Lytechinus pictus: one gene and its partner. The protein of the gene in region 2 binds, or shares a complex with, the protein of the main gene of each other region. Links are inferred from orthologs where the notes say so. Each region holds a gene or a part of one and is shown on either strand. Other genes may lie near its edges.

Evidence for each region. Proteins that work in one complex are often made in the same cells at the same time.
Region 1: CCR4-NOT transcription complex subunit 1-like (region 2) and CCR4-NOT transcription complex subunit 7-like share a complex: the UniProt entries of both Caenorhabditis elegans proteins name them as parts of the CCR4-NOT complex. The link is inferred for Lytechinus pictus from reciprocal best matches to the Caenorhabditis elegans genes let-711 and ccf-1.

Annotation. Positions count from the first base shown.
Region 1 is NW_026974140.1:8,844,697-8,852,234, forward strand, and holds the start of CCR4-NOT transcription complex subunit 7-like, read right to left. Parts: upstream 3,388-7,538; 5' UTR 3,248-3,387; coding exon 3,137-3,247; intron 1,147-3,136; coding exon 953-1,146; intron 143-952; coding exon 1-142. UniProt on the Caenorhabditis elegans protein: Catalytic component of the CCR4-NOT complex which is one of the major cellular mRNA deadenylases and is linked to various cellular processes including bulk mRNA degradation, miRNA-mediated repression, translational repression during translational initiation and general transcription regulation.
Region 2 is NC_087246.1:27,747,068-27,755,319, reverse strand, and holds the start of CCR4-NOT transcription complex subunit 1-like, read right to left. Parts: upstream 3,215-8,252; 5' UTR 3,024-3,214; coding exon 2,922-3,023; intron 1-2,921. UniProt on the Caenorhabditis elegans protein: Scaffolding component of the CCR4-NOT complex which is one of the major cellular mRNA deadenylases and is linked to various cellular processes including bulk mRNA degradation, miRNA-mediated repression, translational repression during translational initiation and general transcription regulation.

The DNA.
Region 1 (7,538 bases), on a different chromosome or scaffold from region 2:
GACACTGTCGTTGAGAACCACTCCCGATGTCATGAGAAGCTCTGCAAAGTGATCAACCTCGATTCCTTCATCTTCATGCTTCTTGAACTGGATACCTGACCCAGATAAGAGCTCTATTGAATCTTTAGCGTACATGTCCTCACTGCAAAATAAATTACAAAGACATTCAAAATTATCAAAACTTCATGATACTGTAGAAGCTTCAACAGATGACTTGATGTGCAGTATCAAGAGGGTTTTCGCAATGACAAGGTGATGCCTAAAAAAACTTGTTCACTATGTATTGAAGGTTTAGCCGAGGTTAAATTGGCATTGAATATTACACATGAATCCCATAGAAAAATGAATTCATCTGGCATGCGAAAGATAAATGCCAGTTGTGGTAACAACTTCAAAATGAGTTTGTACAGAAACCAATCAAATGACCACCCAAGTCCTTATACGAATAAAAGGAATTGTATTACTGCAGAGCAATTAGCAAAACAAGAACAAGCACTAATAATACATTGCCCCACACATGCTTATCTGTGTTGGCGATCTTCAGTGTGATCGATTTTCAGCCTAGATTTCATAATTCCACAAAGTTCAGTTTATGGAACTGTACCTGGGACCTGTTGCATAAAACTTTTGCCGTAAAAAAACTCTGGCAATTTTTTGCCAGAGTTTTTAATGTGTAAATTGCAATGGCATAATTTTGTTTGCCAGAGTTTTTGTTAATGGCAAAAGTTTTATGCAACAAGTCCCTGATCTACACCTACGATGATGTAGTGATTTTATAACTCGGTTTTAGACTTTCCCATAAAATCAGTGTTTACTGCAACTACATTCATCATTATCTTTTAAGAAGTAAGGGGCTTTTTTTTTTTAATTCTACAAATTGACATGCAGTATCTGGTGAGTTCTTGCATCAACAAAATGATGTCTCAACAGGACTCGTATCATGATGGTTTACCTGAGATTAAACCTGAAGTTGAACTGGAACGTTGAGCCCGTCTTGGGAAAATTACCCTGTTCATCACAGAAAGTAATGCCTAGCTGTATTATCTTGAGCAAGTCTACGTTGCATCGATGCAGCTGGTACTGATATTCGGAGTTGGTGCGGAACTCACCCAGTGGCCGGGCGACAACGCCAGGAAACTCTGTATCCTGGTGAAATAAGGATTTCAACAAGGGAATCACTGGTATATAGAGAGACTACATGTAGTTGACAACAAAGCATTGTAATGAATTAAGTAGCCAAGAGCAACACACAAGTGATGCTCTGTTATGCATGAATAATTCAGATTCAATTTATCATATTCTTTGCTAAAATGTGTTATAGACTAGTTTGACCTGATTTTTACAATAAGTGGAGCTATTTCATAAAGCTTCATGTATTAATGAAGTTATGCATGACTTTAACCACAACTGGTGATCTATTCTTGATCTAACTGATATGCCTCAAATATACTATTGAAACAAAATCATACTAAAAATATCATTAATTTAATACTCCTTCCCTATCAAAAGAGCCTTCTGAAAGAAATAATTTTAATGAAAATTCAATTTTCCTGATTTGTTTATCGTGGAAATGTAGTACCTAACTATAGTGAGCATTGACAACCTTACTTCAAAAGAATTTTCCCCCTGATTTTTTATTTCAACATACTGTTACCATGGCAACCCAGTGCCACACACTTATCATGGAAAATGTGTCTTGTACATCTTCACTCCAAGACGGATGTGTGCAATAAGTCTTGAGAGCAACAGGTGAAAACTGTACACAGTGACTGATTATAAATGACCTTACAAACACCCCATTCACAATGTTTGGCAGAGGTATAAAAAATGAAACAAGTGGAATGCCTCTGGCCGTCTCACCTGCATCACGCGATTCAATATAGCAGCAGTGCTGATTTTGAAAACTACTATAAATCGCACAAGATGTTCAGTGATACTTGGTTACTCTTATTTCCACGTTTTATGAACTAGACCAATACACTTATAGAGATATGATGGCAATTCAACAAATACCCCCAACGTGGCCAAAGTTCTTTGACCTTAACATGACCTTTGACCTTGATCATGTGACCTGAAACTTGCACAGGATGTTCAGTGATACTTGATTACTATTATGTCCAAGTTTTATGAACTAGACCAACACACTTTCAAATTTATGGCTGTAATTCAACAAATACCCCAATTTGGCCAAAGTTCATTGACCCTAAATGACCTTTGACCTTGATCATGTGACCTGAAACTTGCACAGGATGTTCAGTAATACTTGATTACTATTATGTCCAAGTTTCATGAATCAGATCCATAAACTTTCAAAGTTATGATGGTAATTCAACAGATACCCCCAATTCGGCCAAAGTTCATTGACCCTAAATGACCTTTGACCTTGGTCATGTGATGTGAAACTCAAGCAGGATGTTCATTGATACTTGATTAACCTTATGTATAAGTTTCATGAACTAGGTCCATATATTTTCTAAGTTATGATGACATTTCAAAAACTTAACCTTAGGTTAAGATTTTGATGTTGATTCCCCCAACATGGTCTAAGTTCATTGACCCTAAATGACCTTTGACCTTGGTCATGTGACATGAAACTCAGGCAGGATGTTCAGTAATACTTGATTAACCTTATGGCCAAGTTTCATGAACTAGGTCCATATACTTTCTAAGTTATGCTGTCATTTCAAAAACTTAACCTCAGGTTAAGATTTGGTGTTGACGCCGCCGCCGCCGTCGCCGCCGCCGCCGCCCGCCGTCGCCGTCGCCGTCGGAAAAGCGGCGCCTATAGTCTCACTCTGCTATGCAGGTGAGACAACAAAATTAAGAGTCCATGTAAAGCAGGCTTCCAGTTCCCTTTCAAACTCAGTCAAACTGCCAATTTATACCTAACGTTAGTGCACACTGTCACAATTCGCATCATGAATGAAAATGTGGTCTTGATCGTGAAATAATTGAAATTATCATTTCAGATAAGTCATTACTATTGTAGTGATCATTAAAAAATTCTGATAAGGTCAAAAAAATTTGGGATCAGCAACAGAAAGCCAATCAAGGCATTCGTAACAGATCACACGATGGTGGGAATGAGGTATAAACTGTATATTTCACAGAATGCACATAAATGAGTAATAATTACCATGGCCACATATTTGTATTTCTGTATGATGATGCGAATCTTCCTGAACACATCCTCTAAATTTGTGTTCCAAACGTCAACAATATGAGGTTCATTAGTCTGAGTTGGCATGGTGTCTGTACTTGTCAACCAGTCTTCCTTATAAAACACTCTTCAATGCTCTTCTGGCTCTTTCTCTAACTTTCTCAGCAGGTGTTATAGCATTGTATTCTCTTTGCTTTCATTAAGAATGAGTTCCTTTCCTGTGCCCTGTAATATAAAAAAACACATTGCAATATGATTTTTTTTTTATTGTAGTGTTGGTTGGAAAACTAATAGAATTCACATAATTTGGGTTTACATTCAAAATATACTTGGTAAGTTTCATACAAATAAAATGGGTTTTTTTTTCACTTAAACTTCATCATATAGATCGAAACTTATGCAAAATTTAAACTCGATTTAGGAGCATCGTGTCACATGCAAGAGTAAACATGAAACTTTCCTTTGAACGATCAAACACATTTTCAAGATTTCATTATGACACATATTTTTACCCTGAAGTTTATTGAATTCATTAATTCACTGCAAGCAGTCATGACAATTAATTAAATAAACAGCACATTTCAATTCAAATAGGTACTTTCTTAACAAGAGAGAGAGAAAAAAACAATCGCAAAATACATCAGAATTAAAACAAAGTAGATTAATAGGGGAAAGATCAAAGAAGAAATGAAAGGGAAAAAAGAAATAGAAAAGATGAAAAATGTAGAAAAGAGATCGAAGAGAAGAATGAGAAAAGGAAAAATCAAAAAAGAGGAAGGAGAAAGGTCTTCTTCTTATGGAAACAGTACAGGCCACCATCTAGTGTTTTGTCATACACGTACCAGCAGTAGAGGCGCACGGCCAATATGGGAGACTCTCTCCAATAGGGGAGACAATCTCCCACATTGGAGACTTGCTTTGCAAAAGGACAAAAGAAACAACACCAACAAAAGCATGATTTTTTCCACCCAAAATGTTGTCTCACTGAGGTCAGAAGCCCATTTGTTTTGTGTGTGATTGACAACAAAAATCCTTATCAAAACAAAAGTAGACGGTGAATTTTTAAAGTAGACGGTGAAAAGGGGTAATTTTTCATGAGGAATCTGCTTATCACATTTTTATTTGCCGCCAAGGTAATCCTTTTGCAGCAAATGTAAAAGGAAATTGGTCTCCAAAACTGGAGACTGTCTCTGAAATTGGATACCCAAATTCTATACAAAAGTCTCTGATATTGGAGATAATCTACCACTAGGGATCTTAAAAGGAAAATCTAATTTTTTAAATCTATGTTTTAAAACCATTGAAAAGTACCTCACCTGAATCAGCATATTAAAAAACCCCAAGTGAATGACTTTTAGTGTTCCAAAGAGATCTAAATATCTGTTAATCTGAGGCGAAATTAGGTCCGAATTGTGACAGATTTGTGTACAAATTTCTCTTTGAAATTTGGTCGACACGTACGCACAGAGCTCGGCACTGAACGAGGGATTGTGGGCGTGTCCTTTCTCGCCTCGGTCTATTATTACGCAAATACACAACTCGAACGAAAGTGCGTTCACCGTATCAGTTAGTCTCGGATCCGAGCTTATACAAATAAACAATGATTAAATAACAAGAAAATAATAGAAAGAAGAGAAAAGGGAAAATGAATGGCTCAAATGCAGTCGTTTGGTGACGGATAGTATGCTCTGACCTCTTGCTGATATAAGGATTAGATATGACATAAGTTTTATGCCATGGTAACTAAAGCATGAGGGGGGGGGCGAGGGCACTCTGACTTTCAAAATAATTAATTATTTAAACATCTATATCTAGGCAATTAAGGGAGGGTCCAGGATTTCCAAAGGGGGGGGGGGGGCACTATTAGCGGCGGCAGTCAACAAATTTAGGGGGGCACCAAAATTTTTGACAAAAAAAGGTTATCAAAGGGGGGAGGCCGAAAAAAAAATTTAGCCCCCCAAAAAGCTAACAACATCCCCCATAGGCAGCGGGGGGGGGGGGGGTCGTGCCCCCCCTAAATTTGAGGTGGGGGGACGATCGTCCCCCCCTAATTTTTTTTTTGATAACCTTTTTTTTTGCTTGTCAATTTTTTTTTCTGCGTGCCCCCTAAATTCCAGTGGACCCCCCTAAAAAATTCATGTGGTCTCCCCTAAAATTTGGGTTGATAAACTTTTTTGGGGGAGGGGGCTTGTCACAAAATTTTAGTGGTCCCCCTCCCTAATTTTTTTATTTCCGCTGCCAATGGCCCCACCTCAAATTTAGGGGGGACAGGGCCTATGGAGGGCACATTTTCCCGATGCAAATTTGATGAGCATTACAAAATATTTTTTAACCAAAAATTGAAAGTCATTTCGTCCCTAAAAATTGACAAGCAAAAAAATAGGGCATATATATGTATATATATCCTCACTTTCAAGGGGGCATGCTTGGGTAAAAAGGGCATGCTTATATTACAAATTACAATTTTGGCTCTCGATAATTATGCCCCTTGGATCCACCAGTAATCTAAGGGGAATTTTTTGTTTTTAGTTTTGATATGGCTACCTTCTCGGAGGGCGTCCTCGCCGCGGTAGCTGGATAGTGCTGCAAAAGAGTAGGCCTTATACATCTTTTGCAGCATTAACTGACACTCCGAGACTTATAATTTTACCTTATACTTAAAAAATGAATAATACAAAATAAAACATAAACACTTGTTTTTAGAGTAAGTTGATGTCAAAATATATTCAGTCTGGGGCATGAAGACTTGGAACTCTGCCCCATATCATTGTGCTTGCCTCGCTCGATTTGTATCATTAAAAAAAAAATAAAAAATGTTTCCACATTAAAATTTTGATCTAAGTACAATGGCCAGAAATAATAGTACGAATAAGCTAGCAGAATTTGTATCATACCAACCATATTATTGAACGCCAACGAAGGCAGTTTCTAAATCCTGTTTGCTTTATTCCACTTTGATTCATCCCTTTTGCGTGTCATATGAAAGCAGTTTTGTGCGCAGATCTAGCGTACCGGTAGGACCACATGCAGTCATTAATAGGTCTCTTTAATTTTTTTTTCAACAAATGATGTCTCATTAAAATTAATAAATTAGAATCCTTGTATATGGCCCTGGGAAGTGGGGTGCTCGGGTTGTGACCCCCAAGTTTTTTTGTTTTTGTTTTTTTAGCTGGTGGTGCGTTTTTTGTACACGTATATAGTTTAAAACAGGAAGAAGAATGACATTGATTTTTGTACCGCATTATTTTCATTAATAATTTTATTGGTAGAAAAAAAAAAAAAAACATTTTTCAAAACTATTCCGCAGCTCCTGGAAGAATGGAGAGATGGACGGAAGGAGAGAAATAAATAGGATGAAGGGGTGGATCCAGCTTTCGCCAAAGGGGGGGGGGGCCAAATTTTTTTTCACCATTATTTTTCCCCAATCGGCTGCGCGAATATGATTTATATTTGTTTCTATGAAGAAATTGTCACTTCTAAATTTTGTCTTATAAATCAACATAAATATATGATATCATAACCCTTTTTATATAATGCGAGCTAATTTATTTTAAAAAATTATGTTTTTCCCCAAAGTTTGAAATTTCTGGGCAATGTTTATCATGAAAAAGATGTGTATGCAACTAAATAATCACTAAGAACGCAAAGCGCGAACAGAATTGAAATCATAGGCACTTTTTGTAACTTAAACAGGATAGGTATATAACTTAGCAATTGATGCGAAGCGCGAGCACAAAATTTGAAGATTTAGACCTAAAAACGAGACATGTCTAGTCATGTCTTTTAAATCATCATGGAAAGGATGTCAAATTGCCGATCTTTGTTACCTTAATAATGCTCGCGCAAAGCGCGAGCATAATATTTTTGTATACGTTTTGAACTGATCAAAAAGGTACCTGTTAAGGACTGCTTATTTCACTTAGCCATGGAGACGTTACATATTTCAACAATAAAATAATGCAAGCGCGAGCCAATTTTTTTTTTACACTTCTACATAAAGAATGGAAAATTGTAATCAATTATTGTGACCATGAACAGGATCGTCGCTATAAAACAATTAATGCGAGCGCGAAGCGCGAGCGGGAAAAAAAATCGAGATTTAGACCTAAAAAATGGGACACTCTATTCATGTTTTGTATAATAAGGATGAGCAATAGGGGTTCTTCCTACATAAAAAATGCGAGCACAAAGCGCTAGCAGAATTTTGTTTTTCAGAAACTGGATAATGATTGAAATACTAACAAGTTGAGTATCTAGATAGACATGCGCTCGCGTGTTTCCGATTTAGGCCTACAATCTAGGCATTCTGAATATATATTTTAACATGAAATTGAAAATCAAAGCGAGCGCGAAGCGCGACCTTAAAATATTTGACATT
Region 2 (8,252 bases):
ATTTCCAGTTTTGTCTATTAAACCATCCTCAACAACTTTGGTGTGGGTGACAAAGATATCTGGAATAAATTCCAAGAAATCTGATGCTGTATCAAACTTTTTGAAAAGAAATGATATAAACAATTGAAACCAAGCATGCAGTGATATGAGTGTCCTACTGAGTGATTGGCCCTTTGACATTGAGCATGTGCTTTCCATGATAGCCAAGATGGCGGTGTAACCATTGGCAAAATTTTCTTTCGGTTCCTAAAAGGTCTAGCATTTTGCAAAGGAAAGTCAGATTTTGATATCATTTTGTTAACTTAAAGGACAAGTCCACCTCAATAAAAAGTTGATTTGAATAAAAAGAGAAAAATCCAAAACACTGAAAACTTCATCAAAATCGAACCTAAAATAAGAAAGTTATGACATTTTAAGGTTTCGCTTAATTTTCACAAAACAGTTATACACACATCCTGGTCGGTATGCAAATGAGGAGACTGATGACATCATCCACTCACTATTTCTTTTGTATTCTATTACATTAAATATTCTAATTTTCTCCTCATTGTCAAGTGAAACAACGCTTGATTCCACCATGAACAGTTGGAACTAGCATTGCTTAAAACTATATGATTCAGTCGAATTAGTCCCTATTGTCAAACCTGTAAAAAATGAAATATTGTATAATTCAAACAATAAACAAGTGGAATGCCTCTGGCCGTCTCACCTGCATCACGCGATTCAATATAGCAGCAGTGCTGATTTTGAAAACTACTATAACTCGCACAAGATGTTCAGTGATACTTGGTTACTCTTATTTCCACGTTTTATGAACTAGACCAATACACTTACAGAGATATGATGGCAATTCAACAAATACCCCCAACGTGGCCAAAGTTCTTTGACCTTACATGACCTTTGACCTTGATCATGTGACCTGAAACTCGCACAGGATATTCAGTGATACTTGATTACTATTATGTCCAAGTTTTATGAACTAGACCAACACACTTTCAAATTTATGGCTGTAATTCAACAAATACCCCAATTTGGCCAAAGTTCATTGGCCCTAAATGACCTTTGACCTTGATCATGTGACCTGAAACTTGCACAGGATGTTCAGTAATACTTGATTACTATTATGTCCAAGTTTCATGAATCAGATCCATAAACTTTCAAAGTTATGATGGTAATTCAACAGATACCCCCAATTCGGCCAAAGTTCATTGACCCTAAATGACCTTTGACCTTGGTCATGTGATGTGAAACTCATGCAGGATGTTCAGTGATACTTGATTAACCCTATGTATAAGTTTCATGAACTAGGTCCATACATTTTCTAAGTTATGATGACATTTCAAAAACTTAACCTTAGGTTAAGATTTTGATGTTGATTCCCCCAACATGGTCTAAGTTCATTGACCCTAAATGACCTTTGACCTTGGTCATGTGACATGAAACTCAGGGAGGATGTTCAGTAATACTTGATTAACCTTATGGCCAAGTTTCATGAACTAGGTCCATATACTTTCTAAGTTATGCTTTCATTTCAAAAACTTAACCTCAGGTTAAGATTTGGTGTTGACGCCGCCGCCGCCGTCGGAAAAGCGGCGCCTATAGTCTCACTCTGCTATGCAGGTGAGACAAAAACAAAAGAAATAGCGAGTGATGGACATCATTGACTGTCTCATTTGCATGTCACTAAGTTGTGCATACTTATCACTGTTTTGTGAAAAATAAGCGAAACTTTAAAATGTCATAACTTTCTTATTTTACATCCGATTTTGATGAAATTTTCAGCGTTATGCTAGTTTGATTTTTCTCTATTTATTCAAATCTACATTTTTCTGGGGTGGACTTGACCTTTAAAGCAGGCAGAATTAATATAATTTTACAAGTTTCATTTTTTCATCTGCTGGCGGGAAATTCTTAGGCCTTGTCATGCTTATGTAGAACAGTATTTTTTGTGACCTGCGCTCTTTGATCGATTACAAACAAGCGCCAGGAGTCTAAAATTAGAAGAGATATTCTCACATTAGCAAACGATTAATTCTCCAAATGCCTGGCTGAGACTACTCTTCTTCTAAAACATGCAAATTATGCTAGCGCAAATAATCACTGCTGAATGATATGCGCCGTATAATTATAAATGAAACAACAATGTCAATGCATGCCAAAGCAAAATCAGACCTGTTCTTGTTTCATTCTTTCGGCCTTCGGCCCCGGGTGATGGTCAGAACTCAGAATTCAGAACGATGATTTACATGTACATTGGCCAGAGTAAATAAATTGGTTTTCATCCTATTTTTTTACACTCTGCAGTCATAGCAAATGAGGAATTGCAAATGAAGATATGGCAGTCGACAGTCAACTTGATTCTTTTTTTTATTATGTTGTTTTCAACACTTACCGGTAGTCGGTACTTTGTCATCATCCTAAATCAAATTGATGAATAGATTTATGGCTAATCAGAACCGCAATAATAATATTCCGCATTTATATAGCGCTTAACACATCGGAACGACGTCTCTAAGCGCTTTACAGATATATTATTACCCCGGCCCGGTCATCGGATCCTTGCATTGATTCTTTTGTATGGGATTGAAAAGGGGGCCGGGGGCAAGCAAGCTACATGTAGCTCCGCGCACCGCAGTCTCGAGTGCGCGGAGCAAGCTTGCTTGCCCCCTTTTCGATCCCAAAACGCAATCCGCCTCTGTCTCTGTTCTGAGCGTCGCGATATTAATGAATCCATGATCAGTGACACTGACCAGCTGACAGTGTCATGAAAAATGAATTTTTTTGTTGTCATTTTAAAATCCAAATGAAGACCAAAATTAATCCTGAAGCGTTCTAACTTCATGAATATTTTTAAGACAAACAAAAATTACATAATTTTTTTTTACTCAACCAACGACATCTATAAACGTTACTTTACTTACGCGAGAGATTTCCCCGACACTTTGCTTGTAATTCTTTTTGTTGAGATTGGCCACAAGATTGGTAATCTGAGAAAAGGCCAGCGACAGGGAATCCAGATTCATTATTTCATTCTTTCAAGTTGTAGATCATCAAGTGGGCTGAAATGTCCCCCCGCTGATCCCGTAGATACTGTAGAAAACTATAAGCAAGTGAAAATTCCGATCAGTAATTTTGTTCGGTAAAATATTTGGTGGTTTTTGACGATATCTAGGACACCTTTTCCGGTGCCATATTGCTGTTTCAGGTCAAAGAAGTTGCCAATTTGAAATACTCGTAAACATTTTGACATCAAGCTTATGTTATATTTTATAAGACATGAATTTTAAGCTTTAAATTAAATTAAGCTTAATTTTTAATAAATTGCAATTAAGTGACTATTCAAATGATTAATTCAACATATAAAAATAATACCAATAATAGTTTTAAATTAGGCCTACGAATACGTCTTTCTGTTCGGTTCGGTTCGCGTTTCGTTAATCGGTCACAATCACTCAATGGTTTCGGTTTACTCATCTACATGATCTCAACGTGCAGCAGAGTGGCAGTAATGTCAGTAAAGGGCTGAGTCATAGTTAGAGATGTATAATTTGAATTGATTAGAGTTCAGTTCAAATCAGTGGCGTAACTACATGGGGGACCCCCCCCCCAACAATCGGCTGCCCCCCAAAAAAAAAAACGGGGGGGGGAGAAAAAGAGAAACGTATAGTGGGGAAAGAAGAAATTTATATTATATTATTTTTTATAAACCTCAATGTCGAATAATCCGTTCCTCTGATTGGTCAAAACGGAGGTCATGTAAACGACCATGCCTTCAAAACAACAAACTAAGGTGGTAACCAAGGGCAACGGGCATAGTTAACAAGAATACTGCCCGTTGCCCCCTGATCCGCCCCTTAACGACGGGCATAGCAAAATTTGGCTGAAATCCCCATTTGATTGCATGCAAAATGTTGCTTTCTGCGGTGATTACGGATACCATAAATATCCGCGCGATTTGATCGAAAGTTTTAGACAATTCGCGCATTTACGCGCTTATTGCGCAAGTGCGCGCAACGGATATGACATATCGATGGAACGATGCCGATCTTTGACTTTTGCTTGTTAATTCCTGTTAAAATATATGGCATTTATTGAAAATAAAACTAGCTTATTAAGGACATAACGGATGTATATCAATCATCAAGTCTTGGGGAAGTTCGCTCAAATGCATGCTCGCAAATAGTGAGTCAGGTGAAAAGATTAGACGGTCACTGCACTTTCTAACAATAAACGTTTAACTCGTTCATGTCGTTACTTAACCTTAGCCTGGGACAATTGTCGTTAGCTTAGAAGTTAAGAGTAGACTCTAGATCTAACGTTAGGACGTAGGTTTAGTCGACTAGATCTAACGTTAGATTATACTCTAGTCTAAATTTTAAGACTGAACTTTAGATCTAGCTACATGCACTGTAGGCCCTAGACCCTATTCAGAATCAGACCCTAATTTGGTTCCTAAAAATATCTAGCCTAGGCCTAGTAGGGACTATCGGTATGAACTGCTCGGGAACTGCTTTGATATTCGATTTTGAGACCTAACTTCAGGGCAGGGCTAAGTAAGGGCCTAGACCTTACGTTAGCTTTGGGCCTAGGCCAGGGGCAGGCTTTTTTGTTTTAGTTTTACTAGATCTAAACCTAGACCAGGCCCTAACGTTTATGTTTAATAATTCGGTTCATAAAATATATATGGACTGCTTTTATATTCGAGACATGTTGGTTGTTTCAATTCGGCTCGCGGGTACCGCACTCGGCCAGACCATGCCCTCGGGCATAGTCGCGTTGCGGTCCCCTTGAGCCTCTAGAAACAACCATGCCTCTCAAAGCCATATATCTATATTATATCATATCATTATCATAACCTATAAAATTCTTCTGATAGCATATCGTGCGCTGACCTTCTCTTCACCAGAATACATCTCATCTCTTCTTGATTTTCGCAAACCTGGTCGCTCTGGTCTTCGCTCTTCTAAGACTTCTTTTGATCTCTCTATTCCCAAAACCAGACGGTCATGGGGAGATCGTGCATTTGCATCAGCAGCTCCCCGTCTATGGAACAATCTTCCAACTAAACTAAAAGACTGTAGATCAGTAGAACATTTCAAGGCCAGTTTGAAAACTTATCTAATGGCCAAATTGTAAGTTGTACCAGTAGTGAGTTAAGTTTATTGTAAGCGCATTGAGCACCCCTAATAGGGTGGATATGTTTTGCGCATTATAAATGTCTTATTATTATTATTATCATATCATATCATATCATATCATATCATATTATATTATATTATATTATATTATATTATATTATATTATATTATATTATATTATATTATATTATATTATATTATATTATATTATATTGTATTGTATTGTATTGTATTGTATTGTATTGTATTGTATTGTATTGTATTGTATTGTATTGTATTATATTATATTATATTGCATAAGATTTTTTTCTTCATAACTTTATGAAACGTAATTTGCTTTGGGCCTATGTGTTCATCATTCCTGGTGCTTGCATTATCTGTTTAATGAGATTTATAATACTGTTTATACTAAAGCATCCCGTTTTCTAGTTAATATACACAATATTTCCTCGCACTTCGAGTTATTATTGTTTTATATAGTGACATATTCTTCTTTTTCATGACTTATTTAAGTGATTTCCTCCTTTTAAGGTCTGAATATAAAACATTTCCAGTTCGTGCTTGCGTTCGCATTAGTGGATTGGTGAGATCTGATCATTATATGAATTCCTAAAAACAGTCCTTTCAAAAATGTTCATGTTCATGATTACAATGACTACAAAAAGTGCTTCATGTGTTTAGGTCTTTGGTTTAGGTGTAATTCTAACAAAACTCAGCAAGTGCTTGGCGCTCGCATTAGATGACTATGGTGAGATATGTATGCTCTCATGAATTCCTAAAAGATAGTCCTTAAATGTCCCCTTTTTAGGTCCGAATATATCAAAACTTTTCAGTTCGCGCTTCGCGCTCGCATTATCTGATCAGTGAGATACATATCGGGTCCTTGTCCTTGAAATGTATTTATTATAGGTCAGTATAATAGGCAATTGGGCTTGGGGATATATGATTTGATTGATTTGATTTATTTATTTCCACATTCCAATAACAAAAGTATATATACACAAGTGTAATCACTTTTTCTTAGCATAACATAACAATAAGCAAATGACATAATGAATAACATATGCATATATATATTCAATTGAATTGAATTGAATTGAATAATTCAAACAATCTAATTTGAATATATTTATACCTGATGATTTTTTTTAATTATCATTAAAACAAATAGCAGAAAAAATAAATAATTCATTTTGAAATGTGGGAGACCTCCATCTTAAGCTTAGAGCTTGAAATTGATAAAGGCCTCAAAGGGAAAGGGGAAAACCAGACAAACAGTGCAATAAAAGAGACTTATATATTATTGCACAAAATAATAGGAATATTACAAAAAAGTAGATAGGGAAAGAAAAATTCAAATGAGAAAGTTATAATCATGTTGATAAAAGTGAAAGTGCAAGTGTGCGAGAGTGCAAGTGCGGGGGGGGGGTTGTAATATCGGTTGGTACGAAACACACAGAGATTTTAGGTATTATATATATTAACAGTGTATTTCTCTTCAAAACAGCATTGAGAGAATAAAGTGTAGAGCATAACTTAATGTCAGGTGATAAATACCCCCCACTTTTCGGAGAGAGGGCTCGGGGTAGCATGTTCAATCATCCCCACACTTTTCAAGACAGAAGTGATATTTTTGTTTAAATCACAAATACTGTACTAACTAAGTGTTTAAACTGGCCTAATTTTGCATTCTAAAAATTCTCGCGCGGCTGCTCCGCTCCCGCGCTCAATATATTCTTACATCATGGATGTATGGTTATAATCAGTCCATTTATGAATACATGATTCAAATGAATTTTAAATGTAATTATAACTTTAATCATAAACGAATCAAAGGGTGAAATATCGGATGGTCTAATACCACTTGGTCTACTTATCAGTTCGTCCAACTTAGTCTAAATATATTTTAAACCCATTTCTTCTATAACCAGTTCGTCTAATTCCCACTTGGTCTAATATTCAATTCGTCTAATGAACAGTTGGGCTAAAACCATTTAGTCTAATTTCCAGCTGGTCTAACAGCACTTGGTCTAATTTCCACTTCGGCTAATTTCCACTTGGTTTAATTTTTTAAAAAGTTATGCAGTTTGGGGAATTCCAAAAGTTACAAATAAGACATTAGATCATTTAATTTTGTTTTGAATATTTTGTTAGAAGTCATTCATCTTATTTTCTCATTCTGTTTTTTTTTTCTACCTCTTCGCCTCATCCTACTTAAAATGGATGGGGGGGGGGGGGGGGCAACGGGCGCACGATCCCTAACATATGAATGTTGTCCCCAACAAAATATTTGAAAGAATTTGCAGTTTTGTATGTGGTAGCAAAATAAATTTGTTGTCGATGTCGTATGTTTTTTCCACCCTTTTCTTTTCGTTTCCTTTCCCTATATTTTTCCGTTTTCTTTCTCCCCCTTTTACCTTTTTCCCTTCTCTTTCCCCCTTCCTTTCTTCTCCCCTCTCACTAAATTGTTTTCTCTCTCATTTTCCCTCCCTCCCTTCCAGTGGCGTAGCTACGGGGGGCCTGGGGGCACGTGCCCCCCCCCTGAGATTTGGTGTGCCCCCCAGGTTCCCCCCTGAAAAAAATTGGCAGAGCAAAAAAAAAAAAAGGAGAAAGAAAAAAAAAAGGAAAAATCCAAAAAATGAAAATGAAAAACAGAAGAAAAAAGAAGAGGAAAATAAGAGGAGGAAGACGAGTGAATGAAATAATGTGAAGGGAAGACTTGCAAAAAAAACCAAACTTTTGCTTGCGCTTCGCGCCAGAATTGCCTGTTCGATGAAATTCATATCTTGCTCAATAGGCTGATATGGAGCAAGTTTTGAAGTCAATATACAAAATATATTTTAGCTCGGACATCGAGCTCTCATCAATTTTTTTTCATTAACAAATTTAAGTGTTCTAGCTGTAAAATGTCCCTTTTATAGTCTACATATCAGCATTTTTAAGCTCACGCTGCGTGGTCAAATTGTTTGATTTGCCAAGTTCCTATTGTCTACGTGTATTTCATAATGTTCCATTAAACAAATGTATTCAGACTGCCCAGATTCTAGGTCTAAATCTAGGTCATGCGCGATAGCCTGCATGTTCTTTATATTAAATATACTTAAATTATCCAGT